Diceros bicornis minor: one gene and its partner. The protein of the gene in region 2 interacts with the protein of the main gene of each other region in a pairwise test. Links are inferred from orthologs where the notes say so. Each region holds a gene or a part of one and is shown on either strand. Other genes may lie near its edges. The genes, in order: PRKRA and ADARB1.

Region 1 (15,767 bases), on a different chromosome or scaffold from region 2:
TTATTAACACATTTTTCTCATTTTACCAGACCTAGGGCAATACTTAAAGCACCATAAAGTCGCTACTTGTGCATTCTTGTCACCCTTAAATGTTGAATTAAAAATAAAATTGATATTTAGAACAATCTCTATGTAAAAAGTTATCTAAAACGATAGACTAAATCCCAAAAATATTTCTGAAATGACTGGCGGATTTTATGAAGGAACATCTATATTCTGAATTTTATATTTAAACCTTTTTATAATATAATTATAATATATAAACAATATCATTGGTCTTCATGACAATTTATGAGGTAGACACTATTATGATCTGCACCTTATAGATGAGGAAAATGATACCCAGACAGGTTAACTTCTCTCTCCTCTCCCTAATTTGCCACAATTCATAAAAGTGAACCTATGTAACTTTGGAACAAGTCTGTGGCATAGTTGCACCTAAAACACCAGCCAGGTACATTCATTTTTCATTTTATTTCATTCTCTTGTGCCAGACATCAAAACAAGGAACTGCATGAAGTCTCACATACTTCTGCCCGTCGACAGAACACTGGAAGCACCCATAAACCGTCTCCCTTTTAAAGTTCCCCATTCCACAGAGTATGCAAGGTCCTTTTGGAATGTTGTGATTAAGTAAGTTAACTCGGATATGTGTCCCTTCTTTGAGTGAAATATCAGTCATGCTGAGGGGTTTGTCATAATAGTCAGAAAAAAGATCATCTAAGTAAAGCTGTGAACGAGAAATGGTGTCCATCACTCTTCTGTCTAAAAGGACAAAAACAGAGAAATGTGTCAGAAGTCAAAACAAAAAACATATAACCAATCTGCATTTATAAACACTACGTGAATCTAAACCATCGCTCAAGAAATTATGTAGCTTTTAAGTTTAAATTTTTCCTTAACAGACAGGATTATTGAATAGATAACCTCAAGTGTCAATCCGAGAAGAAAAAAAATACATTTGAAACACTCTTCAATGGACGTACTTCTCTCGAATAGTATATTTCTCAATCTGTAGAGCAGTGCAAACGTTGCTCTTTCTTCCCTTTCAAATCCTCCTTTTGACACTGAAGTGACACAAAGGTCTATAAAAAAAATTTTAGAAGATGTTATAACTTGTACAACTCATTTTATTGGGAGTTTTAGTTGTGGTTGATGAATTCTGGTACATGCCATTCATTTTATTTTTTTAAGTTAAATTTTACATATTTCTGGAAAAGGTAACATTCAGATGGTACAAAATTAAAAGAATACACACAGGGGATACAGTGACAGATAAGTCTCTAGTCTACCTTGACCCCAGCCTCAGTTTTCCACCCTAGAGGTAACCACTTTTAAGTTACTTGTGTGTACTTCCAGAAATACTCCATATATTGTACAAGCATAAAAGGATATGTATGTATGCATGTATATAAAATTAGGCTCAAATAGTTACATACTATGCCTATTTATTTAAAATATCTCTTAGAGATTACTCCATGTCAGCATCTATAATGCTACCTCATTCTCAATGGCTTCCTAGTATTCTGTTGTGGACGCACCATTACTTACCTAGTTGCTGATAATAGATCTTAAGATTATTTCCAATCTTTTCCTATTATGAAGTAATATCCTTATACCCATATCATTTCACATTTGTGTAAGTATATCTGTAGGATAAATTCCTAAAAGTGTAAGTAAGGCTAAAGTATATTCACATTTTAAATTCTGATGGATATATCAGTTCTATCAGTTTATACTCCTACTGACAATCAATATGTGTAAAAACCTACACCTGAAGTGTCCCAAATAGAATTTAATCAGCATGTTTTTTTTGTTTCTGTACTCTCTATTCCCTCCTCCCACAGAACTGCAGAAACAAACAAAAACAGGTCTAAAAATGTTTATAAACTACCATAGCTAGGGGGCTCCCTTGCCTAGTCCCTTGGGCTATGTCCATCCTTGAACTGACTGGGCTCCTAATCTTACAGACCTGCGAAATGTAGAAATCTAAAGTGAACTGCACTGAGGTATGATATAAGTTGACAATTTTGGAAGAAGTATTTGTACTTTTAAAGTTATTTCTTAGGGAGAATTGGGAAGCTGGATCTGTGATAGGTAAAACTGAAGAAAAGTTGTCTTTGGGTACCCTAGTTTGGGCACCCTGACACCTTCAGGCATCTTACTGTCTACCTACTCCTCTATTTGCCCTCATCAAAAACTACCTGTTAGAAGGTCATTTATTATCTCCCCATGTAAGTCAAGGAATACTTTGTCAGTGGATTGCGTTTTAGCTCTTATCTATGATTGTAAGTGGGGTAGTAGGGAAACTACAGCCTTCACCAAGAAGCAGGAAAGAGGTATTGGGTAAGCAGGGACCAGAAGGTCTTTCCCAGCTACTTCATCCAAGCATAAGATTGACAGCTGAGAGCATCACTCTTCTATATTTAGACACTCAGAGAGAGAGAGAGAGAGTTTCCCATTAAATTCTTCTTAAAAATATAATCATTTCAGTGTTTCATGCAAATCATTCACTCACCAAAGGCACCATCCAAGTAAATGAAGAGTTCAAAAACACTGAAAGCTATGGTTGTGTGTGCTGGAAAAACAATGGCTTTGTCCCTTCCCTTGGGATTCTGTTCATCCATAAAATGAAACTATATTAAATAAGTAAATTGAATAACATTATTAAGAAGCATAACATATAAGGATAGCTTTTTGGAGAAACAAAATATTTCCTACAATCCTACCAAAAAAAAAAAAAAAACCACCACTCCAAGTAAAGAATTATCCTACTTGAATTAAACTGTTTATAGCAGAGGTCCAACTGATCTGATGGGGACTCATGATCTATATTAGGAAATGCCACTCACCACTTTCTCACTTACTTTGGTATTGGAGCCAATGATCAGTGCTACCACAACAGTAATACTCTCTGGCATAGAAGCTCTTTTTCTTTCAACTGCAAACTCAGTGAGTTTAAGTGCTACAGTGGTTTTTCACTTACCTTGTCTACTGTTCCAAAGCCCCCAGAGCTTTCAGCAGCTTTCCAAAGCAATCATCAACTTATTTTCCAAAGCAATCACCAACAATTAAGTAAATGTTTCAGTTTGTGCCCAAGAAATAATCCAATGATAAACAATGTGGTGGGCAGCTAAATGTAGCCAGTGAACAGAACCTCTATTTGCAAAGACTTAAAAAGATGATCACTGAACTCTATCTTTCTAGCAATTGGTTTTAATAAAACCAATCAAGTCATTATTGTGTCATTATTATGTAAATGACAAGGACAAACAGTATCATAATTGAGCTAAAAATTAAACAAATAACCTTCAAGATCTTTTAAAAAGGATTTAACATTGAATGAAGCATGTTTCCCATTGACAATATTATTTTAGAAAGATTAATTTAATTAAAAATATAAATTCGGAGCCAGCCCAGTGGCGCGTAACAGTTAAGTGCGTGTGCTCTGCTTCAGCGGCCCAGGGTTCGCAGGTTCAGATCCCGGGTACACACCTATGCACCGCCTGTCAAGCCATGCTGTGGCAGTGTCCCATATAAAGTAGAGGAAGATGGGCACAGATGTTAGTCCAGGGCCAATCTTCCTCAGCAAAAAGAGGAGGATTGCTAACAGATGTTAGCTCAGGGCTAATCTTCCTCACACACACACAAAAATATATATATATAAATTCAACTTTTAAAAATTCAAGTACAAACTAAAAATCACCTAAAAATAAAATCAAAGAATTCAACATAAGCATTCAACTATTATTCTTAAAACAGCATTTAAATTGTAATAGGAGGAACTCCAATATGCACATTATTTCACAAGGATTGGTGTTTTGTTTGCATTATACTATACATGTTTAGAATCCAAATTTTCTTGGATTTTTTTCATATTCTAAAACAAACCATTACTGTGGAAAATCCTATATACAACTGCAGCTCTTGAATCTCAACATTTGACAAAATACACATCTCATTAGAAATTGAATACTTTTTAAAAATTCCCATTGCAGCTTTTTAGTAAGAGAAGCCCAATGAGTGTGGTTTACCCGCATGGCTTCCCCACGAATGCCAGCATGCACAGACAGTGAGCATTGTCGTGTGGTTCGAATGCTCTCCATGACCACACACAATACCGCCTTTCTGCTGCTCCTTGACTGACGTATCAAGCTATGGTCAAAATTAATTTTTCTAAAATGAAGAAGAGAGACGTTCACAAGAATCTGTAACATCTAATTACATATAATCAAATACAGTTTTTGCTATCAGGTGTTACTCATGCACAGTCCACCTTAACTAAAAGTAAATCAAGGCAGGCCTAATACAAATCAGAAAGTAAGCTCAAAAGACATTTAATAATCTGCTTTTCCTTTCTATTTTCTTAAAACATGCTTGTTATAGGAGTGTATTGGAGGAGACTCTCTTATATTTGTTGCAAGCAGATTCCTATATTCTTTCAATCCAATAATTTAGCAAATGCGTGCAGAGCCAAAGCCATTTTGTGGAACAATTAAAAATTCTGTTTAAACCAAATGATTGTGGATATCTACCAAAGTTTGCATATATTACTAATTTGTAATATTTCAAACAAATCAAACAAATAAATTACATTAGTAAAATACAACCTGAATGTTTTAAGCATTCTTTGTAATGAAGTTTACGTAATTAAAATATTTAATGAAAACAGTGAAGTATATTAAGGATTATTATACTGACCGTGTAGTGATCTCCTTGAGTAACGTTGATACTTCCACTTCGTGTTTGGTTACTACACCAAACGAAGCTTTTACAGCAATGGAATCTGATCCAGCAACGTTAATCCCAACATCATTCACAATATGGTTGCCTCTCCTTCCGTAGAGTGAGACATCTGATTCATCTTCATAATTCAGTAACTGATAAGACGAAATACCTTTAAGAAAAGGAAATTAATATTTTTTAAATGTCTTGAATTCATCTAACGTAGATTACATATAGTAACACGTTAATTTTCTATTTAAGACTCCATTACTCAAATGTGGAGGAAGGCAACATTTCAAACCAAAATTAAAAATAGCAATTTAATTAATTTGACAACAAAAAGAAATAAATAGCCAGAGTACTTAAAATGAACTCAATTCTATGTTCAGCCAACAGAACTTCTTAGGCATCAAGATCCAATGGGCGGTTGAAAGAACACCAAGTTTTTATAAGAAATAATTTGTCAAAATGTCAATTTATTTTCTAATCCAGCCTCTAATACATTTCACTTTATCAACTGTAATAACTGAATCATAAAAAAATAAATGCAAATTACTTTCATTTCATTTGATCATGTGAGATAGGTAAGAGTAAACAATACCCCATATTATAGATGAAGAATTATATTATGTCATATTCTAAGTTGATTTGGTTAAAACAATTTACAAAATAATTAAAATAAGATTATACAATAATCCTACAAAATAGGTTTGAAAATTATTCAACTAATAAGAGATGTGATACTGTATAAACTTTAGGCATTGTTAATCTTAGTATTATTACTGCCATAGTAATAAAAGTTATTTTTATCAATGAAAATGTGTCAATATTAGGAACATAAGTAGTATATACAATCTATGTTTAGATCACCAATAATATAGCTGAATTAGTCCCTCCCAAACAGACATTTAAACTTACCAGCTGAAATTTCTCTGTCTCCTAGAAGAACATCTTTCAGTGTAAAAGGTGTTGAGGTAAATTTATATCTAGGAAACAGAAAGCATCGCTTTTTTTTTACCACCAGACTTAGAGGTTGGTATTTGTCAGCCTCACTGAGGCTTGGAACAGGAACTAATCTCCCTCCATCTCCAACTTGTTTGACAAAGCTCTTGGTAGCAGCAGCAAACATATTAACATAGTATTAAAACATCATCAACTGCAACCCTCAGATAAGAAATCCATATTTTCAAAGAAAATCAGGCACAAAACTAAGCCTTGCTTGACTTTAAATATAATTATACCTGCTAAAAATACAAAGTATAGTTTCACCAAGTAGTTTACCAGTGTACAATCCACACACACCGCCTCCCCTGGCGTGCTCAGGTAATGAATTATAGATCAACGGTGTAAAATGATATACTAAAAGCAAGTCTAATTTGGAATTGCAGTCTATAGCACTAAAATACACAGAAAACTAATAATTACATTACCAATGTCTTTGATGAGGGTCACAGTTGATAGTGGTTTGCCAGTCTTGAGGGAAGCATATAGCCCTATGGGGAACGATGCAATTTAGGCACTAACATTAGCCCTGGACACCATCTACAGTGGACCTAGTCCAAAGGGAACTCCTTTACAACTCCATCATGCCAATTTTGGCAACAGAAAAGTGCTGTTTGGAATCCTTATGGTATACAGTTCACTGTTTGAGCATTTCATTCATTTTCCCTGTATGCTTACAAAACCAAGTGATTAATATAAAATATAAATTCATAGAATATAAGGAAACAATTGTATGCAGATCTTTGTAAAATACTAAATGAAAGCCGCATTACATAACTGTATACTGACATTTGGGTTTCTTACTCTGAAGCTGGCACATAGACAACATCTCTTTGAAACGGGGTCCTGCTGCATTTATTTTCTTTTTGTTTCATGATTATTATCCCAGTTACTCAACCTTTAAAAAGAGCTATATAAGGTTTTGGCTTGTTTTTAAAGGAATTTTGTGGATAAAAACAAATTTTAGAAACAAACCTGAGTGCTGAAATAATGTATTGCCATAGTTATGTGGATGTTAATATATTTTGAAATAGTGGCTATGTGGTACTTAAAATAAGATATTTGTTAAAACATAACATTAGTGGGTAGTAATCGACATACATACACATATTGAGGGGGTAGGGGGAGGAAGAGAGAATAGGCTTAATTCCAGCCTCAAATAATATAAATCAATTTTACTAGATTCTAGACATTTTTTTCATTTACTTTCAAGCATCCAGGGCTCACGTGCAACCAAAAAAAAAAAAGTTTTTAATAATAGCCCCTCCTGCCAATACCATTGGGCAAAGCAATCTTCCAGAACACCGAGAAAGCACACGAAGTGATTTCTGCAAGTGGCTAGCAAACCCCTAGAAAAGCGATACATCTAATGTCGCTGTCTGACCTCCACCAAAAGTGGTGCATCCCAGGCAAACGCCATTACAACCAACAACACAGGTGTGCAGAAACAACATTTAATTGGAATCAGGTACCATAAGAAGCCTTCGTCTACACGTAATATGTCTTGTAGGGATCCGGTGGCTCAGCATTCTTCTCGCGACCAAAACCTAGAAGACAATGGAGCCCACCTGGCGGGAGAGGAGTGGGGTCTCAGATGTCCTCGCGAGCTCCTAAAGCTCCTGAGGGCCACCGCAGCCCTCAGGAGCGGATATTCCGCCAGTTTCAAGCTTCGGGGCCAGGCCCGGGGAGTGTCTCTAGCAATTTTGCATTTGGAATTTTGAAATCTTTTTCTTAAAGTGACGCAGCCCTCATCCTACGCCCTAACTCCCCCGCCAAAAAAAAAGGTCTAAGCTTCAGGCCTCACACACTGTGAGGCTCGCCCGCCGGACAAGCCTTCTCTCCGGGCAAGAAACGCCCTCCTTTTAAGGACACAGAACTACGGCCTTGCCGGGCCAGGCGCCGATAAGCCGGCGCACCGAAGGGAGGGCCGCGGGCAGGAGCTGAGGACAGCCGGGGCGGGGAGGCCAAGGGGTCTGGAGGGGAGGGCGGGGTCTGGAGGGGAGGGCGGGGCCGGAGCCGGAGAGACCCTGAGCCGGTGGGCGGGGCCGGGCACGGAGAAGGGCCCGCAGCCAGGGCGGCGAGGGGGCGTGGCCGGGAGCCGGGGCGGGCACTGCCACACCGAGGCTCCGCCTCCCCCCCCGCCCGTCCCCTTCGCGAGAGGGACGCAAGCGGGAGGAGAGGAGGAGTGGGAGGAGGGGAGGCGGCGGCGGTGGCGCTGGAGCGCTTCTCTCGGGGACCGGCCGACCGGGGGAGCCAGCACGTCGCCACGCACTGCTCTTCCTCCGGCCGCCGAGCCGTCCCTTCTCGCCATGTCCCAGAGCAGGCATCGCGCCGCGGCCCCACCACTGGAGCGCCAGGACAGCGGGACCTTCAGGTCAGCGCCGGGGCAGTCGAGGCCGAGCCGGCAGGGCCGGGAGTGGTGGGCAAGAGACGCGGGGGCGGGGGAGCCGGCTCTCCAGCGGCATTCTGGGTAAAGCCCCTTCGCGGCGCTTTCGCCCCCGCAGCTGCGGGCGGACCGGCGGGCGCTCGGTCCCGCCCTCTCGGCGGCGCGCGGGCCGGGGTCTGCGGCCGGGCCCCGCCCCTCCTGCGGCCCCGGGCGGTGCGCGGGCTGGGCGGAGGTGGCGCGCGGCCGCCACCCTGAGAAAGGCATTTGTGGGCTTGGTCCTCAGAGGTCGCAGCGCCGGTGCCTGCCCTATTCTGCTACGAATCCCTCCTTCGCGCATTCGAGTTAGCCCCCTAAAGACCTCCCTCGCCCTGCCCGCCGCTGCCCGGTGCCCGCCGCAGCGGGGCAGGGAGGCTGGTGCGCCTCGCCAGCTCGGGCCCTGGCCGCCTGGGACCTTCGGCTCCTCCCGCGTCACCGTGGATAACGATCAGAACTAGCCCCTGTCTGCTTCTGCCTCCCTCTCCGCTTTGGCATGCAAAGCACACCTTTTTCTGGTTTTTGCAGTTTGGGGAAGATGATTACAGCTAAGCCAGGGAAAACACCGATTCAGGTATTACACGAATACGGCATGAAGACCAAGAACATCCCGGTTTATGAATGTGAAAGATCGGATGTGCAAATACACGTGCCCACTTTCACCTTCAGAGTAACCGTTGGTGACATAACCTGCACAGGTCTGTATGCAGTTAACCTAGATGACCAGGCGGGTTGGCGGTCAAGACTTGGTATTGCTTTGCAGTTCGGAAAAGTGCCCTTTTTACCTGAGACAGTGGTGAGGAGCAGCCTCTTGAAACTGAGAGCTCTCATCTCAGGTCATTGGAACTTTCCAAGTTCATCTGATTCTCTCCCTAATTTTCTCTTCCCCAGATACCAAGACAAGCTCAGAAACATACCTTAGGACTCTCCTATGGTTCTTCCTAGAATTAGGGAGAAGCAGGAAAGGTTCTTAGACTCACTAGGCACTTTGGGCCCCTTGCACCACACTCGATTCTGTATCCAAGCAAAATGAGGAAGGCAGAAGGCTCAACTACACTATATTGCATAGCATCTTCTAGTTCCTGATACTATACAGATATTTAATACGTTATCTCTTTTTTATACATGAGGAAACAGGTTCAGAGAGATCATAAGTAATGTGCCCAAAGTCACATAGCATCGAAGTTTCAGAGTTCAAACTCAACTTTATTATGGTCTGTGAACTTGAGCAACTGACAACTGAAGTTGCCCGTTTGTAAATGTAGACATTTTATTTCTTAGGTATCTTATTTAATTGAAACATAAAAAATATTGAATACTAAATTTAATTTGGAATAATGCCAAGAAAAAAATTCAGCAGGAAGGCTGAAGTTCTACCATCTGGTCATCTGAGGCCGTCATTTGTTTGTGTCCCTGAAAAGCTGGAGTCCGCTATTTTCATTGAAGCCACTTTAAGAAAATTTTGAAGCTTTTTTGTTTATATGAGGCAGGTGGATTGTAGGTGCCAGCTGGAAGTTTCCTCATATGAACCATAGAATCAGCATTGCATTAGTGCTTTAGCTGGTCTATTTTTAAGTGTTCAGTGAAAATTCAAGAAAAAGTAGCCTTTTTTCCCTCAGTGTGTTTTAGACTGGAGCCTAACAATCTATGGTAACCATTCTGCCTTGGCCCCCTACCCTTCTCACACTGCCCTGTCTTCCTGTGCAAGCTTATCTGCCTCCACAGCTTCAAATACTATCTAAAGGCCGATAATTCTGAAATCTCTATCTTCAGCCCAGGCCCAGTTACAGAACAGTGTATCAGCCTGTGCTTGCTGGGCATCTTTGTTAGGATGACCTAAAGGCACCTCAGTCTCTCATTGTCCCAAACTGAATCCATCTTCTTTTTTCTCACATCCATTCCCCAACCCAGTAAAGGCACCACCACCACTGATTTTCTCACAGTAGAAATCTGTATTTCATCTTCTTGACTCCTTCTCCTTGTCCAGACTGTCACCATCTCCTACTTCCTAAATATCTCTTGCATCTGTCTGCTTCTCTCGTTTTCCCATTGCTACCGTCTGGGCCACTGTCATCTCCCACTTGGAATATAGCTACAGTCTTGTAGCTGCTCTTTCAGCTTCTAGTCTTGTGATGTCCATTCTCCACAGGACAACCAGAGTGTTCTCTCTGGCGTCCACATCTGTTCATGTACTTTCTCTTCTTAAAATCCAGTCAGTGGTTTCCCATCAACCTCTGGACAAATACAAATTTCTTAACATGACTTACAACCTTGTTTCTCAAAATGTGATCAACAGCAGCCTTGATATCACCTGGGCACATGATGGAAATGCAGAATATCAGGCCCCATGCCAGACCTACTGGATCAGAGTATGCATTTTAACAAAATTCCCAGGCAATTCCTATGCACGTTAAATTTGAGAAACACAAATTTAGGATACTATTCCTTAATCTCTCCCTCTCCCGTCCAACTCTCTCGCCTTTTATCTGAAAATTCCTCCCCTTGGGCTCTTACTGTACCCACCTACTTGGGGCTCTTGAGCACACCCTGCTCTGTGTTGCCTCTGAGCCTTGGCAGGGGTCTTTTCTCTGTCTAGAATGCTCTTCCAAACCCCCAGCTCTCTTCACTCTGCTAGCTTTTACTGATCTTTCAGGTCTCCATTTAGTTACCTCTTCCTTCTTGAAACCTTTCTGAATCCTTCCCAAGAGTCGGGAGCTGCGCCTTTCATGTGCCTCCTACAGCCTGCACTGAGGCCTGTCGTAACACATACTACTCCATGTTTCAGATGCCTGTTTACAGACGAAATCCCTCACGAGGCTATGCGCTCTTTAAGGGCAGGGACTGTGTTTAGTTCTCTGCTGTACCCTTAATACCCGTGTTAGTGGATGAATGAGTATTATTTGTGTGTCCTCTGACACTTGAGGGTCACACTTGAAATTTATTCCATGTCCCCTTTCTTTCCTCCACACCAGAGGAATGGACATCAGCATTCTCATACCACTTTCAGAGGGTTCTCAACACCTGGTTTGAACTCAGAAGGAAAAAGGTTGAATTTACCATTTACCAGGTGTGATTGCTTTCTGCAGTTAGGCATCAGTCTCAGTGGTTAGTAAGGCCCGTCTCCTGCCACCCCGTTAGCTACCCATGTAAGAGATACAGATTGTATAGAAGACACATAACATAAGCTCTCACCTTCTTCCCTATATAGACCTTCCCCAGTGTTCCCAACATGTGGCCATGACTGCTTAGCCAATCAGAGGGGTTTAATGCAGTAGAGGATGGGCTGTTGGAATAAAATTGTGCACATTCTACTCTCAGACAGTGTTGTAAGTGGCTCCCTTAAAGGAAACTTCTTGCTTCAGAAGAATTCTCTCTCTCTAGGGATAAGGGAAGGGTTAAATACTAAGTTGCATTTCTTTAGAAGGTGTGACATGGTCTACTTTATTACCATTTTGTGTATAAACATATATAATGTAGACATAAGAATTCTTTATATAGGTATACATAGTTAAATGTGTAGAACTTCTAAAATCACGGTTTTTTTAAATGTGTTAATTTTTTGTGGTGAATATTTTATTACAGTATATAATTGTATGTAGTCTATGTTTTTATTACCTAGTGTGTATATATAAAACCTGTAGTAACTTTATTTTGTATTATGAAAAGCATTATGTGAAAGCCTCACATTTTCACAGCATATAAAGGTTTTTTTTTTAACCTTAATTCAGGTGAAGGTACAAGTAAGAAGCTGGCGAAACACAGAGCTGCAGAGGCTGCCATAAACATTTTGAAAGCCAATGCAAGTATTTGGTGAGCTAAATTTCTTTGTATTCTGCAGCTCAAAAATATCATGGCTGAGGTAAGATTAAAAGTTTGAACATGCTCACAAAAGCAACAAAGTGAACAGTTGTTAGTATCTAGCTGGAAAATTCTACTTCCTTGTGAAAACCTATCATCCATTAAAGACAACTTTATCCTTAAATTAAATCCAGCAAGTAACTATTAAATGGTTTTCACGAACTAGGCTTTTTTTTTTGTAGATGGGCTGTGACAGTAGCAAAGCAGAGTTTTTCTGGCAAATATCTTACTGCATTAAGACTTTAATTATTTCTACACTAAAGAAAACAAGGTGGAAAAAGATCAACTGAAAGTACTCTTTTAGGAATTCTAATTTGGAAGGAGACAAAAAGATTTCCTTTTATTGTAGGATGTATACCAAATACAGAGGATGTTAAGTGGGATGTTAATTCTTGACATATCTTTCCAAAGTAAATTTGTTATTCTAGGTGCTTTGGGAAAGAGAGTTGGTTCTGGAGCATCTCATGTGTCATAAAGTGGTGTCCTTTGGTTTCTAATGGGTACACCCTACAACATGGAGTGCCTTTAAATTCTTCTTTACATGCACTCAGATAGACTTGGATTATAATCTGCTCATAGCTGACAGCAGAAGCCCATGGGAATTTAGGATGGTGTTTTGTTCCCCATCCGTAGCAAAACTTTTGGCTTAGAGATGTATGTAGGCTCTCGTGCAGTGCTCCTCCTTTCTAAGTCATTCTAAACCATTTGGTAGTTAGAACTAACCAGTGATAAGCCTTGGATCTTATAAAATGATGCTTGATTCTCTAGGGTCATACATTATACTTGATTTATGCTAGCTTTCCAGACATGCCAAATGGCATGGCAGGTATTGGATTTTCCTCTCGCTGGTGATGGCCATGCTGTTTCTGTGGAGCCCAGAGGTCAACCCAAAGTGTTGAGTATATTCGTAGAAATGAGTGTACAGCGTGTCCTTCCTGCACCTGGGCACTTCACTTTGTCAGCAAAAAACGCTAACACACTTTACTATATATTTGTGCTTCTTGACAGATAAGATGGGAATTACTAAGCTGTAATCAGGCCTAAAGTGGCCTGATTTAATACAGAGACTTTCTCACTTCTCCATCACAATTATTTGGGTAGCTTCGGCGTGCGCATTGTAAGTGAATATTCGTATCTCATCAGCCTATGTAAAGCTTGAAATTCTGGCAGTTAGAAACTTAGGGAAGTGGCCATAAGTAAACCTCATTTGTCCTGGAAGAAATGACTCTTCAGTGACCTAGGTGTCAGTGTTAGGGACCCGTCACCCAAGTAACTAGTAGTTTCAGGCTACTTAGAGGAGATTGTTCTCTTTTTTCCTAATCACGATTCCCACATGCTGAAACCAGATTCATGTAGGCCATCTATTTTATGCAGGGTACATATGATCTTAGGGGGATCATTTGCATAGAGCAAATGATAAGTCAAACAGATCTTTCTTCCATAATTCTCTAGATGAAAAAACAGTATTTATGATCTGTGTTATTCACATTGCCACGCTAAATTTCATGACTAATAGTCAGTCTTCCCTTTTCATGTAGTTATAATATAGTATATTTTATTTAAATACATTTTAGCTGAGCACCTATTATATGCAAAGTGCTACAAAGCTTATGAAGGTAAGTAAGACATAGGCCCTACCATCAAGGATTTTACAGTCTCTGAACAAGGGAGAGGTGTGGTGAGGGATGGACAAATTACATGTATTTGTAAGAGAGTATAATTTATGGTAAAATAATTTGCTTAAGAAAGGGTCAAAAAAATGTTAGAATGTTTCAAAGGAGAGAGTAGCTATGTTCCATTGGGGTGAAAGGATAGGCTTCTTAGAGAAAGTGGCATTTGAGATACACCTTGGATAATGAGTAGATCAGATTCTCGTAGAAGGTGGGGGAGAGAAGGGCGTTTCATGTAGAAGGAACAACGAGAGCAAAGGCATAGAGGGTTAAATAGAAAATATTGTCATTTTGGGGGAAATTGTTTTGTTTTCTAACACTTTAAAACAATGTTTAGCTTTGCAGTTCCTGACCCCTTAATGCCTGACCCTTCCAAGCAACCAAAGAACCAGCTTAATCCTATTGGTTCATTGCAGGTAAGTTGCACAGTTTTTCCATACTTAACATTTTGTCTACTGAAAAAAGATGTCATAAATTGATACTATCACAGGGGCTAAGACAGGGAATGAATATTTTAAAGACAAGATGGTGTAATATTTTGTTTTCCACGTTATGATCATTAGATATTACAGCGCTAACTTGAAGTTATTTTCCTATTTATTTACGTTTTGGATTTTCTTCCATATACAGTATCTGCCTTTGGTTTGTGGAATTCTCATTTGAGATCAACAGGACCTCAGTGCACATGGGTAGAGTGTTTTATACTTTAAGAATATTTCTTGCCACTCTTGTGACAAACCTCTTTCTACTTCTGTTGAGACAGAAGACTTTATAAAGAACCCAAATCGGGTAACCTAACTCAAGAAAAGGGAAGTAATCTGTTTGTTTGTTTATTCTACCAAAAATAAATATATTCAGCTTTGAATTTCTGCATGCAGAATATCCTTCTTGCAGATTATCCATGTGCTCTGTTGGACAGCTTCTCTCCCCTTCATTCAGCCAGTCCTTTGGTCTCTTTCCTGCTCTGTGAGATTTTCTGTAGTTTTCTTTCCTGTCTTTCCTCAACCTTCTCCCAGTCTGTTTGTTTGCTGTCTGCTCCCCACTCTTGATAAAATGCAGTGGTTAGTTAGCCAGCTGTGGGATGGAGGTCTCTAGATAGGGAGAGGCTTTAGGAACTGATGGCAGTGAGACCTATAGATGTCCTCTGTGATGTTCCCAAAGAGAGTGACAGTAGTTTGTCTTTCTGTTGGAACTCTTTGATATCCACTCACTATGGCTTAATGGAAGAACACCATTCATAGCAGGAAATTGCTTCAGTTTTGGTATTATGGGCTTATGAGATATAAAATGTAGTGATATCTATGGGAAATATGGGGTCTTCCCTCATTTTTCCGTTGCAGAATATCATTCTTTTCAAACATATATATAGAAATGGGATCAAAATGATGAAAGAATATCATTTATGTGATTGAGCCATTGCATAGTAAAAATTACTGCTAAAGCCTCATCTCGATTTCCTAGGAATTGGCTATTCATCATGGCTGGAGACTTCCTGAATATACCCTTTCCCAGGAGGGAGGACCTGCTCATAAGAGAGAGTATACCACAATTTGCAGGCTAGAGTCATTTATGGAAACTGGTACTTATTTCTTTTTACTCTCATACAGTTGAGACATTTGAAATATTTTCAAATGATGAATGACCATAGAAATTTCTGTTGTGATTTCTTTTCAAATATTTCGACAGGGAAAAAAATTGATACACTCCTGTTTTACTATCTCTAACTTTCTGCAGTTGAATTTAAGTATAAATATTTAGCTTAAGAATACTTATACTTCTTAGTTTGATATTTTAAAAAATCATGGAAAGACAAAATAAATAATTAACTCTTTAAATAGTCTTCATGGATGTGTTAGTGACTTTAAAAGACTCGTTTTGGAGAAAAAAGCAGTAGTAAATCTCTTGGAGTTTCACCTGCTCTTCTAGAAGATAGGGGGACTAAAAGAAGATTATGTTTGAAAACAAGATGATTAAAAAGAGGCCTAGATGGCCAAAAAATTGCAGTGAGATAAAAATAAAGTAGAAATTATTATCTTTCTGAATTATAGCAACTTGTATGTTGTAAAGGCCATAAACTGTGAGAAAAAAGTCCC
Region 2 (15,669 bases):
TCATCCCATTCGTTGAACTATCGAGAAGATTGAGATTTCAAAACTCCAGACCTAAAAAAATCAAATAAGGGGCTGCTCTGGTGGCCTGGGGTTCACAGGTTCGGATCCCGGGTGCGGACCTAGGCACCGCTTATCAAGCCATGCTGTGGCAGGCGTCCCACATATAAAATAGAAGGACATGGGCACAGTTGTTAGCTCAGGGCCAATCTTCCTCAGGAAAAAGAGGAGGATTGGCAATGGATGTTAGCTCAGGGCTCATCTCCCTCACCAAAAAAAAAAAAAAAATCAAATAACCACCAATAATACAAATCAACACACAAGAAAGATAACACAAATCAACACAAAAGAAAGCTATTTTAACAGGCAACTTCAAGTGACTGCTGCGGCCCTGACAGCACCTAAGCTTACCGGGCCGAAAGCAGCAGCACCTTCCCTCTCCAGGAGGTGGGAGAGCTGTCCTGGATGCAAAACTGGCATTGTCCTCTAGAACTTTAAGACAAATAACGCACAAATCAGGAGCCAAGTCTTGCTAGTCGTCTGAGTAGTACCAAATTTGGTGAATAAAGGTGCCAACTTCCAGTAAATTAATGATACTTTTAGAGACAAGTGAATTTTTTTAACAAAGAAAAACGCCATTTCCACGTGTCTTTCTGTGAGGATGTCCCAAGGTGTGTTTAGCACTGTAAGCTAATAAGAAACTAGATCCAAGGGCAGTGTGTCTTTTAGAGATACGTTTTAAGTGAATCAAGGTTCCCATGCACAGAAGTCCTGCCTTGCTCCTGAGGCCGACCTGTTCCTGCTCCTCCAGCACCCCCACCTACCTTCTCAAAGACTGTCCTCCTGCAATTACCCCCTTTCCCAACACATTATAAATCTGCCCTTCTCTACTGGATCGTTCCTATTAGCCCATAAACACGCTATAATTGCTCTCATTTAAAGAATAAAAATAAAAAACTCCCCTGAGCACATGACCTCTCCAGCTACTGTCCCATTAATCTGTCCCCTTCTATAATTTTTTATAATTTTATTTATTTATTTTTTCCCCCAAAGCCCCAGTAGATAGTTGTATGTCATAGCTGCACATCCTTCTAGTTGCTGCATGTGGGACGCGGCCTCAGCATGGCCGGAGAAGCGGTGCATCGGTGCGTGCCCCGGATGCGAACCCGGGCCGCCAGCAGCGGAGCGCTCGCACCCAACCGCTAAGCCACGGGGCCGGCCCCTAATCCGTCCCCTTTTAACAAAACTCCTCTAGATTCCTCCACCCTCAATGTTCCCCACTTCCCCACTTCCACCTCTTCTCCACAAGGCCACCTGCCTCTTATCAAAGCCAAGAGTTCCCCAGCAGAAGAAGAGGGAGCTAACCACTCCCTCAGCCCTGGATTCCTGCAGCCAGACCCCTGGTTTCTTGTTTCTCCGCTCCGGACCCCTTGCCAAAAGCCCCCAGGCTCCGTCTTCGCCTTTATGCTCTTCTGCATCTACAGCCACCACCCAGCCTATGGTTTCAAATACCATCGATATGCAAATGAGTCCCAAATTTACATATTTGGCCCCAACCTCTGTTTGAACCCAACCATGAATTTCCACGGGTATCCAAACATCTCCACTCAGATGATTAATCATAAAAATAACAAGCAAAGTAAACCCTCTTAAGGACTGTCAGGGAGGTACTATTTCAGGCACTTCACGTTAGCTGTGTTTATCGACCCAACAACGCTGGGAGACAAGTTGCTACTATTCTTCGTAATTTATGGATGAGAAAACTGAAGCACAGAAAGATTAAATAGCCTCCTCAAGATCACACATCTGGTACGTGGCGGAACAAAGATCCAATCCACGTGCCCGAGGTCTGGTCTGCGGGCTGAGGAACTGCCTTCAGGAGCATCTGAAGCCTCCCGCCACGAGCGCTCCACCCAGACTCCTGCTCTTGCCGGACTTCCCCATCTCATAACTAGCACCAGCCAACCGCTCAGGCCAAGGGCCTTGGGTCCTTCTGGGATGTTTTATCTCACAGAGAGACTACTGACAATCCTGATGGGTCCGTCTGCAAAGCATGCCCCAGTGCATCAGTTCTCAGACGTGCCTTTTCCCACATCTTAACAACCATGAAAGCGGAAGCGCCTGGCACTGGTGGCGTCTCTGTGCTATCCCACTCACGGGCAGGAGGCGAGTGTATTACTCTCGCCCTGGCACACTCAAACTCAGCTGTTACTCTCGGAGGTGACCCAACAACAGGTCAGTCAACAAATCACTCAAGGACCGGAAACCTCTCCTTAACACCTGCCAGTAAGATCAAGAAAGCACCCAAGCCTGCAGACCGGGTATCGGCAGCTGGGACAACACCCCAGAGACAGCAGTGGCTCGGTCTTAAGAAAAGCCGCCTCCACCACACTCAGTGACCGCACAGTGGACAACACAGCACCATATCAGCGCCAAGTCAAAGGCCGACTTGGAAGGACTGGATTCTGAACGGGAAGAATTTTAGAATTACTTTATTTCACTCGTATGTTCCTTTTTTATAAAAGCACAGAGCAGTATGATTTTAAAAGTCCACACTTGAAGTCTAAGAGCTCTCTCACTGAGCGTAAGTGAAACCTAAGTGACAAGAAAGCACATTACAGTCCAACTGGCAGCATTTTCCTGTTAATAGTACAAAAAACAACACTGCAACTTACAATCAACGGCATCTGACACGTGATGAAATCCAGCAAGCCGGGTCTGATCATGCCACCTCTGCACAGGCCCAGCCTGGTCACTGCAGGCCCCTGCAGTGTGGACACTCAGGCCATCCTGCCTGTGCCACAATTCTGTGGCCTCTCTGTGCCTACTTTTACACACAAGTAACACAGGAAGACTAACAGTAACACCCACCTTCTAGACTCGCATGAGAATTAAATAACACATGTAAAGCGCTTCACTGGCCTGGCACGTCACAAGCTCCTAACAAGCATTAGCTACATGACAGCCAGAGTGATTCTTTCTAAAGATAAATCAGATCTTGTCATTCCCTTGTTCAACACTCTCTAAAGTCAACTAGAAAAACAGAAAGGAGGGAAGGAAGGAAGGCACATGGGAAGGCTTCCCATCACATTGAGATTTATGACTAAATTCCTTACCACAGCCCCTGCCCCAACGAGATGCAGCCCACCCGCCTCTCCGTCTCACTTCCTGCCACCCTCCAGCCCTCCCGCCACCCTGGCCTCCCTGCTATTACTAGCAAGGACCAGGAAGCTCAGGCCCAAGGCTCTGACTCCAGAGCTCCCGCTGCCTGGCAGCACCCAGCGCCCTCCACCCTTTGAGCCCTCTCTCTGATCCCCATCCACCGCCCGGCACTTACAATGTTAGCTGGGGTTTACCATCCCCTCCTCCCCCATAATGTGAACCCCACGAGGGCAGGAACTATCCTTGCTGTGTTCACGCCCGCGTCTCCAGCTCCTAGGACAGTACCCAGCACGTGGTAAACACCTGCACAGTACCCAGCACGTGGTAAACACCTGCGGGGTGAGCTGTGAGTGAAAGAGAAGTAACCTAGAGACAAGCAGAGTTTCACTGCACTTCCACTCAAAATACCAGGCCCCTCAGAGCTACTTCCATCCACCCTCCCTGCCCCTTCTTCATTTTAAATCCATCACAAAGACATGAAACCAAAAACCAAAGTCCTTTTCCTTTGTACACTCCCAGAACACCTTACACATACAGGTGGAAAAGAGTGGCAAGTACCACTCATCAGATCACAGAAAAAATGTGATTATTTGATACTAATGGTCTGGGCCCAACAGCTGTCAAGCTATGCAGCAAGGCCACACAAAGACCTCTGTTGGCTACCACATTTCCCTGTCCACGTGCCAAATGAAATGTCACACCGGAGAGAAAAGTCACTCAAGGATTAAGGAAATCTTAATGACTTCAATGTACAATTTTTAAATGAAAGTCTCACTATCTGCCTTTCCTACCTCACATGTTATGAACACATTTTTTAAAAGATTTTTTTGAACACCACCATGTCCATCACACCAAATTACTGATTTTGGAAATTAACATTTTAGAAAACTGACACAAAAAACCATCAGGTTTTCTAATAAAATTGGACCTCTCTAAGCTTTTCAGTTTCATACTAAGATTGATAATTTTTCTTAAACAAGTTTCTTATAGCTGGTAAATGTATGACTTCACTTATTAATCTCCAAAGTGTATTTTCTATCTATCTCCTAAGTCCTTACATAGCTCATCACAGAGCTCAACGGACTAAAACTCAGTTCTTAAATAAACCTTACAGCTAAAGAATTTTGATGATTAATAAAAAATGATTAATATGTATAAAAAATATTCAGTTTGTTATAGAAAATACTAAAAACTATATTAAAACATACAACCGTGTGTATGTTTTGATTCCTGCTGGGAGAATACACAATCAACTGGTCACAGCAGTTGGAGGGATAAGAGTGGCTGGGGATGGAATGGGATGAGGTTTTATCATCTTTTTGTATCTCTGAATGTACTTTGGGCATGCTTACATTTTTAAATCTATAAATAAAAATTTTGATGCTACACATTTTTAAATTTTATTATTTTATAACTAAACTATAAGTTTTATTTTAAAAAAATATAATGCTATAAAAGTGATTAATAAAACAAAGTACCAGCTTTTGAACTGTTTTAAACTCTGCCTATCTTCTTCAGCACTGCATCCCCAGGCCTAAAGCAGGGAGGGCCTAGACAAAGTAAGCCACAGATAAGTATTTATCAAATGAATTAAGTTTTCTTTATTCATTCACCAGACAAACATAAATTTAAAGAATTTTCTTATTCCAAAAATCCAAAAGCAGTTGAAATGCCTTTACGCCATGTAAATCCACAAAGGAGTGAATCAGCCTGTGAGCCAGAAGTTTTTGTCCTTGATGTCATGAGCCAATTCTCCTCTCCTCACCTCCCAGGACTGACTTCAGGAGCACGTCGCACCTCCAGATACATGTGTCATCAACCTCTCAGAGCTGGACCAATTTTCTTTTCACCACTGCCCCCTGCAGAAAGGCCTCCATTTTTTCCTTCCAACTATAGCTTCAAATTTGTTGAAGACATGGCTGAATATACTCAGTCTCAGGAACCCCAGACATCTAGCAGGGCATTACTCACAGACAATGCATTCCTTTCAAATCCCTGTGCATCCCTTGCCTCCACCTCCAGCAGGATCCCGCACCCAGCTCAGCGTGTCTCATCAAATATTCATCTAGCCCTGTTGTGGGTGTCCATGTCCAGAGGATCTTGCCTCTGGAGGAATCCTGCAAACTCTCCTATCCAGCATGGAGCAGTATCAGTCAACCTTTTGCCTTTTTTCCTTCTTCCTTTCCCCTCTGGGAAACCCGCAGCGAGCAGGGGGCAAAGTAGTTTCAGCCCCAAAGAAAAGATAGTAATCAAAAGACATTGCCAGGAACTGCTCTTAAGACAACCCAGTGTTTTGAAAAATGCAGCTGTAAGTGGCACCTTTCAAAGGCATAAAACATACGGGCAAATTTAAGAGGGAACGAAGAGGATTACATAAACATTTCCATTCCAAAACTCACTGATCAAGGACCTTAATGACGGCACTAAGAGTAAAGAAGCAAGGTTGATATCAAACCACTTTTTGTTACACTTCCAGAACGGAACGCTAACCATTACGGTTGCGTTAAGACGCAAACAAACGCCCGTGTCAGAAGAAACAACCCAAACCTGCTGGCTCAAAACATGAACTGCGAACCAAACACAACAGCGCGGGTTTCCGACGTATAAATCCGGACCGGAACACTTTAGGTTCTCGCCATGTAAATCGGAACTCCAACACGTTTGAGCGTCCACAGCCCAATTTGACACCCTCCCTTGGACCCAACCACAACCCGGTAATTTTCCTACTGCAGATTTGAACACGTCAGAATTCACCTCGGTCCCCCAATCGCCCCAGATTGTTCCGGATCGCTCCAGACGCCGGGCACCCGCGGGAACTTCCCCACCCAGGGCCGCCAGCGGCGCACAGCATCCCACGCGGACACGGCGCCCTCGGGAGGGGACGCGAGGCGGTCCTGGGCGCAGTCTCATTCTGGGGGCGCAGCCTCCCCTCCCCTGAGCCGCGGCCTCATCCTGGGAGCCGCCTCATCCCGGGGTCGCACTCTCTCCTCCCCGAGCGCAGAGCCTCCCGCGCGGACACGGTGCCCTCCCGAAGGGTACGCAGGGCCGTCCCGGGCGCAGCCTCATCCCCGGGCGCAATCTTTCCTCCGTGGGGCGGAGAGCATCCGGAGAAGATGCGGCACTCCCGGGGAAGGGACGAGGCTGTTCCTCGCGCAGTCTCCTCTCCCCGGGGGCGCAGCTCCATCCCGGGTCGCAGTCTCCCAACTCCCCTGGCGCAGTTTTATCCTGGAGCGCAGTCCCCCCACCCCTTGGGCGCAGCTACATCCCAGAGACCAGTCTCCGTTCCATGGCGGGGCGCAGCTTCATCCTGGGGCGCAGTCTCCCTCTCCGGAGGCGCAGCTTCTCTCTGGGGGCGCAGCCTCTCCTTTATCCCGGGGCGCAGTCTCCCTCCCCGGGGCGCAGCTTCATCCCGGGGCGCAGCCTCATCCTGGGGTGCAGTCCCCCCTCCATCCCCGGGCGCAGCCTCATCCCGGGGCGCAGTGCCCCCTCCATCCCAGGGCGCAGTCCCCCCTCCATCCCGGGGGGCAGCCTCCTCTCTCCCGGCGCAGAGCATCCCGCGCAGACGCGGCGCCCGGGGAGGACACGCGGACAGTCCGGGCGCAGCCTCCCGTCCCCGGCGGCCCGTGGCCCCTCCGGACACCGCGGCCGGGCAGCCCGGGTCCCGAGGGAGCCGCACGCCCGGCCGGCCTGCCCACCTGCCCCGCGGCGCTTACATAAACGCGGCTCGGCGCTGCCCGCGTGTGTCCGGCCGCCGCGTGCGAGCCCGCCGCCCCCGCTCACCTCAGCCGGGCCGCTCAGTCCGCTCCGCACGCCGCGCCGGGCACGGGCCGCCACTCCGCGGGCTCCCTCGGCCGCCGGGGCTGCGGCGCGCTGGCCGTGTCCTGGCGCGGCCCCGAGCGCGGTCCCGAGCGCGGCCAGACCCGCCCAGCCTCCGCCTCGCCCTCAGCCTCCGAGCGCTCAGCCTCAGCCTCAGCTCGGCCACGGCGCGCTCCGCCGCCCCCGCCCCCGCCCGGACGCGCGCACGCCGGGCGCCGCCGCCACGCAGCCCGTGCGCGCGCACGCACGCCTCGCCGAGCCCGCCGCGGTCCGCGGGGTCGGGAGCGCGGGTCGGGGTGGGGCGGTCGGAGGGGGTGGTCAGGGTGCTGCGGTGGCCGGATCGGTGGACCCGGCGATGGTGGGGCGCGCGGACCCAGGAGGCCCTCTTGGCTTCCCGCGGGCGGGGTCGGGGAGGCGGGCGGCGCGGGGGCCGAGACCCCGGGAGGGCGCCGCGTCCCCGCCTGGAGGCCGGTGTGAGCCGGGCGTTCGCGCGCTCCGGCTCGGCCGCCTTCCCGGAGAGCGGCGTGGAGCCGAGGCCCTGCCTGTGCGGTGGAAGTCGGGGTCCTGTTTGAAGGAGAAGGTGGGGTCCGGGTCCCCAGACTCCAGAGGTGCCCCCCCTACCAACATTTCTGTGTAGACCTCTCAGTGGGATCAGAAGCAAGTCCACATTGCCGAAGTTAAGGCGCTGGTTGGGTTGGTGGGGTTGAGAGGAAAGACATTTTAAAGCTTTTTTTACAGTGTATGCAATAAACTTACTCCTCTATCTGTATTTACTGACTGTTCCACGGTTATACCAGGAGATGTTGACACGCATGACGGTAAGCATGTGTAGAAATGTAACATTTCCGAAGACCAGAACAACCAACCCAAGGCTGCAATTCTCTTCAGAACAGAAAATAAAGTTTAATAAGGAAAAACTATAGTTTTTGAGTGCGGGTGCTGAGAGTGGAGGAGCCGGGACAAGCCAGGCAGTGCTCTTGGCTGTTGGTGATTTACTAGGAGGACAACAGGGTGCAGAGAGGGCTGGGGCCTGGCAAGCCTGGGGTCTCCGCCTGCACAGGGGCCCTGGGAGAGGCCAGACTCCGAGGTCAAGTTCAGCTGCTGCCACTTCTCAGCTGTGGGGCCTTAGTCATCTCTTGGCATCTCTGCCTGTTTCATCATGTGTAAAATGGGGAAGAGAAGACTAAGACAGGTGAAGAGCCCAGTCCAGAGCCTGGCATGTGGTAAGCACCCGTCCGTGCTAGCTACTACTGTTAGTCCTGGAGTCCCACAACAGAGCTGAACACCCCTGAAAAGTTCGCTGATCGAAGCATGAGTTAACCACAGGGGAACGTGCTGCACAGGCTGGTTACCTACTTCAGGTTGCTGTGTGGGGGAAAGGAAAAACCTGTCTTTTGGGCCAGCCAGCTCCCAGGCAAGCCCATCACCCTGCCTGAGGGCCAAGCGCCAGGTACAGAGTCCAAAGGGGTGCTTGTTGGCAACTAAGTAAAAATCAAGACTCCTGGGATGCCCTCTAGGGGTTCATCCTTAATAAACAAATATGTGCATGAGGACTTGATGTCTATTTCTGTGTAACAAACCACCCCAAAACCAAGTGGCTTAAAGCAATCCTTTAATTGCTCATGATCCTCTGGGCCAGCAAGGGGGGACGGCTCGTCTCAGCTTTGTGGGGTGTGGGCTGGGCCCGCTCATATGGGCCGTGGGAACCAGCCATGTGTCACCCACCGTCCACAGGCTGTCCAGGGCTGCTTCTCATGGTGGTACGACTTTGTCAGCAGCAAGAGGGAAGGGAAAGCTCGGTGCACAGGGGTTTTCCAGCCTGCACCGTGTTTACTAAAGTCCCATTGGCCAAAGTAAGTCAGAGGGCCAAGCCCTGAGTCCGTGCGGGAGGAACTGCACAGGGGTGTGGTAAAGGGACGCATGATTCACTGAGTGCCGTCACTGTGGCCATCTTCTACAGGCCTTCGTTTAGTATCATTTACCAGGGAAAACAACATAACTGCCCTTCCATCGGAGCTGGTAGTGTCGATGTCATCCTTTGTCCCTCAGCAGCAGAGGAGAGAGCGGACGTGGCCGTGACCAGGACCTTCATCTGCTCCTGCTGGCTGGCTGGCCCCTTGGGCTGCTCTGGTGACAGGCGAGGAGCCCCCGGGGTGGCCCCTTGCTGTTAGTCTTCCTCAGACACGTCATCTCCAGAGACAGGTTTACCTCGGCGTCCTCCCTGACCTGGCAGAATGGCATGCAGAGCATGCCTCTTTATGCTGATTTGGGGCCAAGCCGTGGGGCGTTACCAGGTGCCTGGGAGCACCGCTGCCGCCGCTCAAGTACCTGTGAGGCCGGGTGCTTTGATGAGGGATCCTACAGCCTCCTATGGAAGGCCCACCTGCCCCTGTCCACCATCAATGCCAGACGTCTGGGCGCCCAGGATGGGCCCTGGGTTTCCACAGAGGTGGTGGCAGCTGTGACTGTGCTGGCCAGCCACGACCTGGCCCTCAGGACACAGAGCAGCATCCAGGTGTAGGCCCCCGCCCCACCCCCAGACGCTCGTTCTGTTGGTTACCTCACCATGCCAAGTGTGAAAATAAAGTATCACTCTGAGTCCTGGAAAACGAACAGGACGCTCAAATGCTCCCCTTAGGAATCTAGTGGTCCCCTCTGTCTGCCCCAGTGACGTGGTGTTAGGTTTTACACAAGAGTATGAAACTTCAGCCGCTGGGGAGACACTGTCTACACAACACCAGGAAACTGCCTTGGCCGAGGTTTTCCTTCAGCTGAATTAGCTGGCATGACCATGCAGCTGGAGCCCACAGGCAGAGTTAGGAATTACTGTAGGCACTGCAGATGCCTCAGGACAGAACGGTACAAAAGCACTAGTAATGACCTTAGGACATAGACCGCCAGTGGACCAGGAGATGGAGGGTCGGCTGGATATCAGACTGTGGCCCTGGGAGCCCGTTTGGGAGCTGCTGGGAGGAGAGGTGAGGTGCCCAGCTGACTGCTGACAGAGGGAGCAGCTCTGCCTTCATTTACATCCTAGGCTTTCAGACCAAGGATGTGTTCAAGGCTTACGGGTACAGAAACCACTCATTCGTCACTGCCCAGCAGAGGGTGGCCGCCAGAGGGGTAAACCACATGACCTGAGCACAGGCTGGTGGCCCTGAATCTGACCCGGCTGTCCCGGCTTGGCTCTCTGGCCCCTTTCTAGGCCCTGCCACCCTTTCTGCTCACACAGGGTGACAGCGTGATCCCATTACTGCCTCCACTTGGTGAGCACACTCCCGACCTGTCCTGCTGAGACTGCGCCGGGATCACAGCCACAGTGCCTGCCGGCCTGTGACGTATGCACCTGTGGGAATTTCCATCATTTAACTCCAAGGACAGCCTTTTCCTAGGCCTTTTGAAATCCATTTCCCTGTGGTCCCTGTGCACCACCAAAAGTGTGTCTGAGAAAACGTGCACTGCCTGTTTTATTTCATTCCGCCCTGTCTGTTTGGGAAAGGGCACTCACGGGTACTTTTAGATTGTCGTCTAAAAGTAGGTTATTGATTTCTTGGTTTCTAAAAAAACCAGGAAGATAAAACTGCTAATAAGAAGATAAAATTGTAATGTAACCCATACACTGGGATACATTTATTTGAGACATAATATTTTTTGTCCCATATTTTTAAGAAGCCTGAGACTGGAGTGATAAAAACCAGATGGTACTAAACCTTCTCAATCACCTCTTTTGGGAGCAGACACCTTGCATGGAATCTGCCCAGCTCACAACATGCCTGCTTCTCTGGGGTCCCCCAACCCCCACAGTGATCCCCCTGGTGGAGAGATGGACCAGGAGTGGCCTTGTCTGTGCCCTGGAACATTGACTCACCTCCCACTGCCCAGCTCCAGGGGATTTCACTGGGAATGTGGAGCTGGCACTGAGACAACGCTGTATCTCTCTGTGTGCCCAGACCTGAAACGCTGAAACCAGGGTGGTTAGGGTGGTCTTCATCACTTGCCGTGCTTACCTATCAGGGGAAGCCGGCCTGACGTGAGAATTATGGGGAGACAAGAAGAGACAGGACGTTGAGAACATTCTCGTGGCTTTTTGGTGCCTTAGGCAGTGTGTATTGCGCAGGGGTGAGCAGGGATGATTAGGATGACGAATCACTTTCCAGTTGTTGGGAGTCGAGAGGTGGATGGGGAAAGGGTGTGGTGCCGTGTGGTAACTGGAAGGCAGTCTAGTGTGAGGAGACAGGCATGAGGGTCGAGCAGGGCTCACACCCCACTCCACCACACAGTGTGACTGGACCAGTCGTCCAGCCTCTCTGAGCCTGTTCTCCATCCATGAAAGGAGACAGTTATGCCCACCGCACAGGCTGGCCCGGAGCCCCACGTGTGGATGGCTGCAGTGTGAAGAACGTGGGTGCTGTGGCAGAGGGAGAGGTGTGCAAGTGCGTGGGTCCAAGAGCGCAGCCCGCCCTGCTCAGGAGAGGACAAGGCTCCTGCAGCCACAGCCTCTGAGCCGAGCTTTAAGGATTAGGAGGCGTGGGTGGTGAGGGTGCCCGAGGCAGAGGGAGGAGGTTTCCATACCACATGGATTCAAAGGAGGAGAGAGGACTTCTCCGTCAGCATTTCTGTCAGGAGAGTCATCCTGACTGGACTGCTCGGATCTCCCACCCTCCCTAAACCACTGGCAAAATGGGATGTGCTGAGTGCTTCAACCAGAGGCGTGGAGACCTGAGGTGGGCTGTTTGTGTACAGCCCACAAGCTCAGAATGAATTTTACATTCTAAAGCTTTGGGGGAAAAGGAAGAATATGTGACAGAGACATATGTGGCCCACAAAGCCTAAAATGTTTACCATCTGGCCCTTTACAGAAAAAGTGTGCCAATCCCTGGTTTAAGCCAAGTAGGGCCTGTCCCTGGAGCTGGGACTTAGACCCACTCCTGTCAAAGTACACAGAGTGTCTGGGGGAGGGAAAGAAATGCACACCAAAATCAGGGGGCCATTAGTGGGGGACACTGGCTTGTTAGGCCACCAGGGATGTCTGCTCTAAAGCTAGCACACTACCCAGGTGAGGTGCTGATGGCCTAGCTCCAGTGGGAACAGTGGAGGTGGAAAGAGTTAGGTTGTTTTTGGAAAGAGACTGGATAAGACTTGGTGATAGATTGGGTGAAGGGGTGTGGAGGGGGCAAACCAAACCAAGACGCAGGATTCTGGCCGTGCATGTTGGAGGGTGATGGTGCGACACCGAGATGAACAACGACCAAAAGAAATGACTGGGGGTGGGGGGAGCCAGGAGTCCCTTCTGGTTGATGAGTTTGCAAGGCCTGTCAGATGTCCATGTGCTGTGTTAGGAAGATACAAAGATTGGTGTCCAGAGAAGAGAGCTGTGCTGGGGTACACATGGAAAACCATGAAGATGGAAGTGATTGCCTAAAGGGAGGGGAGAGACAAGGAGAGGACTTGGGCCAGACCCGAAGACCTTCACCCATTGGAGTGGGGTACAGAGGGGGTGAGCAGAGAGGGCTGGGGAACCCTGACAGGTGCGAGAAACCTACCAGAAAAGAAAAGGTAAATCGGAAAAATGACAAGTCCAAATAGAGCAAGGACAGAAAATTCAATGGATGTGACAACACAGAGGTCATGGTGACTTTGAGAACTCAGTGGAGTGTTGGGGACAGAACTGACTGAAAGAGGGAACACTCTCCACCTCATATTATGAGGCCAACATCATCTTGACTTCAGAACCTAGGAAGAATGCCTAAGGGAGAAAAAGCATGCACCAACCTCACTCATAAACAAAATCTAAATAAATTATCACAAAATCCTAAACAGAACACTCAGCAAACCCAAATCCAGTAATGTAAAAATGATAACAAGAACGTTATGACCAAGTTGAGTTTACCCAAGAATGTCACTCTGGTTTAACACTTTAAAACATATTAATGTAAATCAGAAAACACCTGTGTGATCATCTCAATAGATGCAGAAAAGGCTTCTAATAAAACCCAGTGACATTCACGTTCAGAAAAACAAACTCTTAGAAAACTAGAAATAGAAGGAACTTCCCTAACCAGATGAAGGGTGCCTACAAACACCTGAGACAAACATCAGACTGTGGTGACAGGTAAGGAACAGTCCCTTTAAATCAGGAACAAAGCCAGACGCTCGCTCGCTCCACTCCTGTTCAGCACGTAATGGAGCCCAAACCACAGAGGGTGACATCACAGTGGAATAAAATCTATGAAGGCTGGAGAGGAAGAAGGAATACTTAATCACAGGTAATACGATTACATAGCAGAAAATAAAAAACAATTCACAGGTAGACTGTTAGAGTTAATAGAATCTAGCAAGGTGACAGAGGATAAAATCAACACCCCCCTCCAAAAAAAAACCAATTTCTGTACAACAGCAACAAACATGTGATTTAGAAAAATGAACCTGTTTATAGTAACAACAAAAATATGAATGAAGAATAAATCTAACAAAAGAAGTGTATGCTCTTTAAGGAGAAAAAATATTTTTTTAGAGCAAGAGCAAGTGAATGTGGAGACACACCACTTTAATAAAGAAGAAGACCTCAGCACATGAAGGTGCCACTTCTCCCCTAAATTACCTACAGACTCGATGGAATTCTGATACATCTTCCAACAGGGATCTTTACACAACTCGACTGATTCTAAAGTAGATAACAGGAAGGAAAAGGATCTAGAAGAGCCAAGACTTTTCTAGAAGAAGCGGCAGGCGGGAGTTTGTACCAGCAACTATCAGGACCTACTATTACATTATAGTAAATCAAGCCATTTGTTATTGGCCCACGGGTGGACACACTGACCACTGAAGGCAAATAGAAAGTCCAGAAACAGACCCACACATATTTTGATATATGACAGAAGAGGCATATCAGTGGGGAAAGGAATGACTTCAATAAATGATGCTCGGACACACGTTTGTCCATTTGGGAAAAAATGGGAATTAGGCATGTATCTTACACCCTACCCAAAACTCTGTTCCACGTGGATTAAGGAAAACAAAGCTTTTAAACTTTTAAAATATAGACAAATATCTTTATGACCTTAGGAAGGAAGAGTTTCCTAAGGTACAAAAAGTGCTCTCCATAAAAAGTAAGATTGATAATTTGATCATATTAAAATTAAGAACGTCTGTTTATTAAAAGATACAATGAAGTAAAAGACACAACAAATAAGGAGAAAATGTTTGCAACACATATAACTGTCAGAGGATTTGTATCCAAGATATATAAAGAACTAAAATCCAATAAGAAAAGGCAAACAACTTAATAAAAAATGGACAACAGACATGAACAGAAGAGGAAACATGTATGGCTGATAAGCCCATGAAAAGATGTTCAACCTCATGAGTCACAGGAAAGTGCAGATTCAGATCACAATAATCCTGTTTTACACCCACCATACAGGCAACAGTTAGAAAGGCTGACAAGATCAAGTGTTGGAGAGGATGTGGATCACCAGAACCCTTGAACATTGCTGGTGGGAGTATTATTTGCAACCACTTTGCAAAACTTGAAATTGAGTATAAATAGGTTGGGGAGGAGCATGTTGGTGAAGGTGCTGGAAAAAGTCTCAGTCGTGGGTGGGGTGGTGAGGAGTGAGGGGTCATGGATGATGCTCTATAACTTACATGTATGTTACATATAACCTTTTGATAAGTCAAATAGCATATTAAGTATATTTTAAACCCTACATTTAAAAAAAAGAAGAAAGATGGGCAAGACAGAGAACCAGGGAGAAGTCCTCCGCCAGGTCTCAAGACTGATAAAGCTGGTATCCTAACCAGTGTGCGCACGGGAACACACGGATAAACCACTCTGGAAATGATGTGGAATCTTCATGTGAGGGGATGTAGGTCTCCTAAGAGCCCGCAGTCCCTCTGCTAAGCATGCACCCTAAAGAAGCTTGCATGTGTTTCCCAGGAGACGTGTCACAGCAGAGTTTGCAATATGAGAGCCATGGCGAGGGCGACATGCCCTACATAGAGGCGGGGGCTGCGTGAGGGTCACATGGGACGGTGTGTGGGGAAGGGTTAGTGAGGAAGCTGATTCTCAGTGGGGAGGTTGGGGCAATGACATCACACATGGTTGTGAGGATTAAATAAAACAAACATCTCGAAGTTCTGCAGGACTATGAATGTTAGGGATTGGTGTTGCCAAACGCCCGCAATTCTTTGTGGGATAAATGGGTCTACAAGAACATATAAACCAAACAAAATTAACAGCTGCACCAACTTCTTTTGAATGGTTGGAGATTTTTTTATAAATCAGATGCTAAAACAGTATGGCTCCTGGGAACATATACTCTGAAATAATGACTAGAACCAGTAAAAGGAGCTTTTCTTTTTTGCTGAATTATCTGTTAATTATTATGTTAGCAGTCTTTCTTGAGAAGCCCAAAGGCAATTAGGAATTGAAGCAGGCACAGGAGGGAGGAGGGCAGGGACCATGGGAGGGACCCCGGCTCCCTCTTCTCTGTCCTCCAGGAGCCTTTTCAGAGAGGGCTGGAGGCTGAACACGTGCCTAATGAAAGTTTGGTTAATGACAAATTAGAGGGCTCATGTGGTTATTTAAAGCCTTCTCTCTGGGGGACTTGCAACTACCATGTAGTCAAGATCCTGTAGTTTGCAGTTTTAAACTAGAATTCTCAGGGCCCCAGACGACTGTTACATGTGAGT

Evidence for each region.
Region 1: the proteins of ADARB1 (region 2) and PRKRA interact in binary tests that used the Homo sapiens proteins (3 or more experiments, as listed by UniProt). The link is inferred for Diceros bicornis minor from reciprocal best matches to the Homo sapiens genes ADARB1 and PRKRA.

The regions. Positions count from the first base shown.
Region 1 is NC_080749.1:58,880,758-58,896,524, reverse strand, and holds the start of PRKRA (interferon-inducible double-stranded RNA-dependent protein kinase activator A), read left to right. Parts: upstream 1-7,921; 5' UTR 7,922-8,036; coding exon 8,037-8,101; intron 8,102-8,674; coding exon 8,675-8,844; intron 8,845-11,874; coding exon 11,875-11,956; intron 11,957-11,964; exon of another isoform or gene 11,965-13,121; intron 13,122-14,011; coding exon 14,012-14,090; intron 14,091-15,135; coding exon 15,136-15,253; intron 15,254-15,767. Other genes in the region: PJVK (pejvakin), read right to left, coding at 473-765, 987-1,085, 2,519-2,636, 4,035-4,176, 4,702-4,897, 5,644-5,854. UniProt on the Homo sapiens protein: Activates EIF2AK2/PKR in the absence of double-stranded RNA (dsRNA), leading to phosphorylation of EIF2S1/EFI2-alpha and inhibition of translation and induction of apoptosis.
Region 2 is NC_080766.1:44,480,828-44,496,496, reverse strand, and holds the start of ADARB1 (double-stranded RNA-specific editase 1), read right to left. Parts: upstream 7,028-15,669; 5' UTR 6,940-7,027; intron 1-6,939. UniProt on the Homo sapiens protein: Catalyzes the hydrolytic deamination of adenosine to inosine in double-stranded RNA (dsRNA) referred to as A-to-I RNA editing.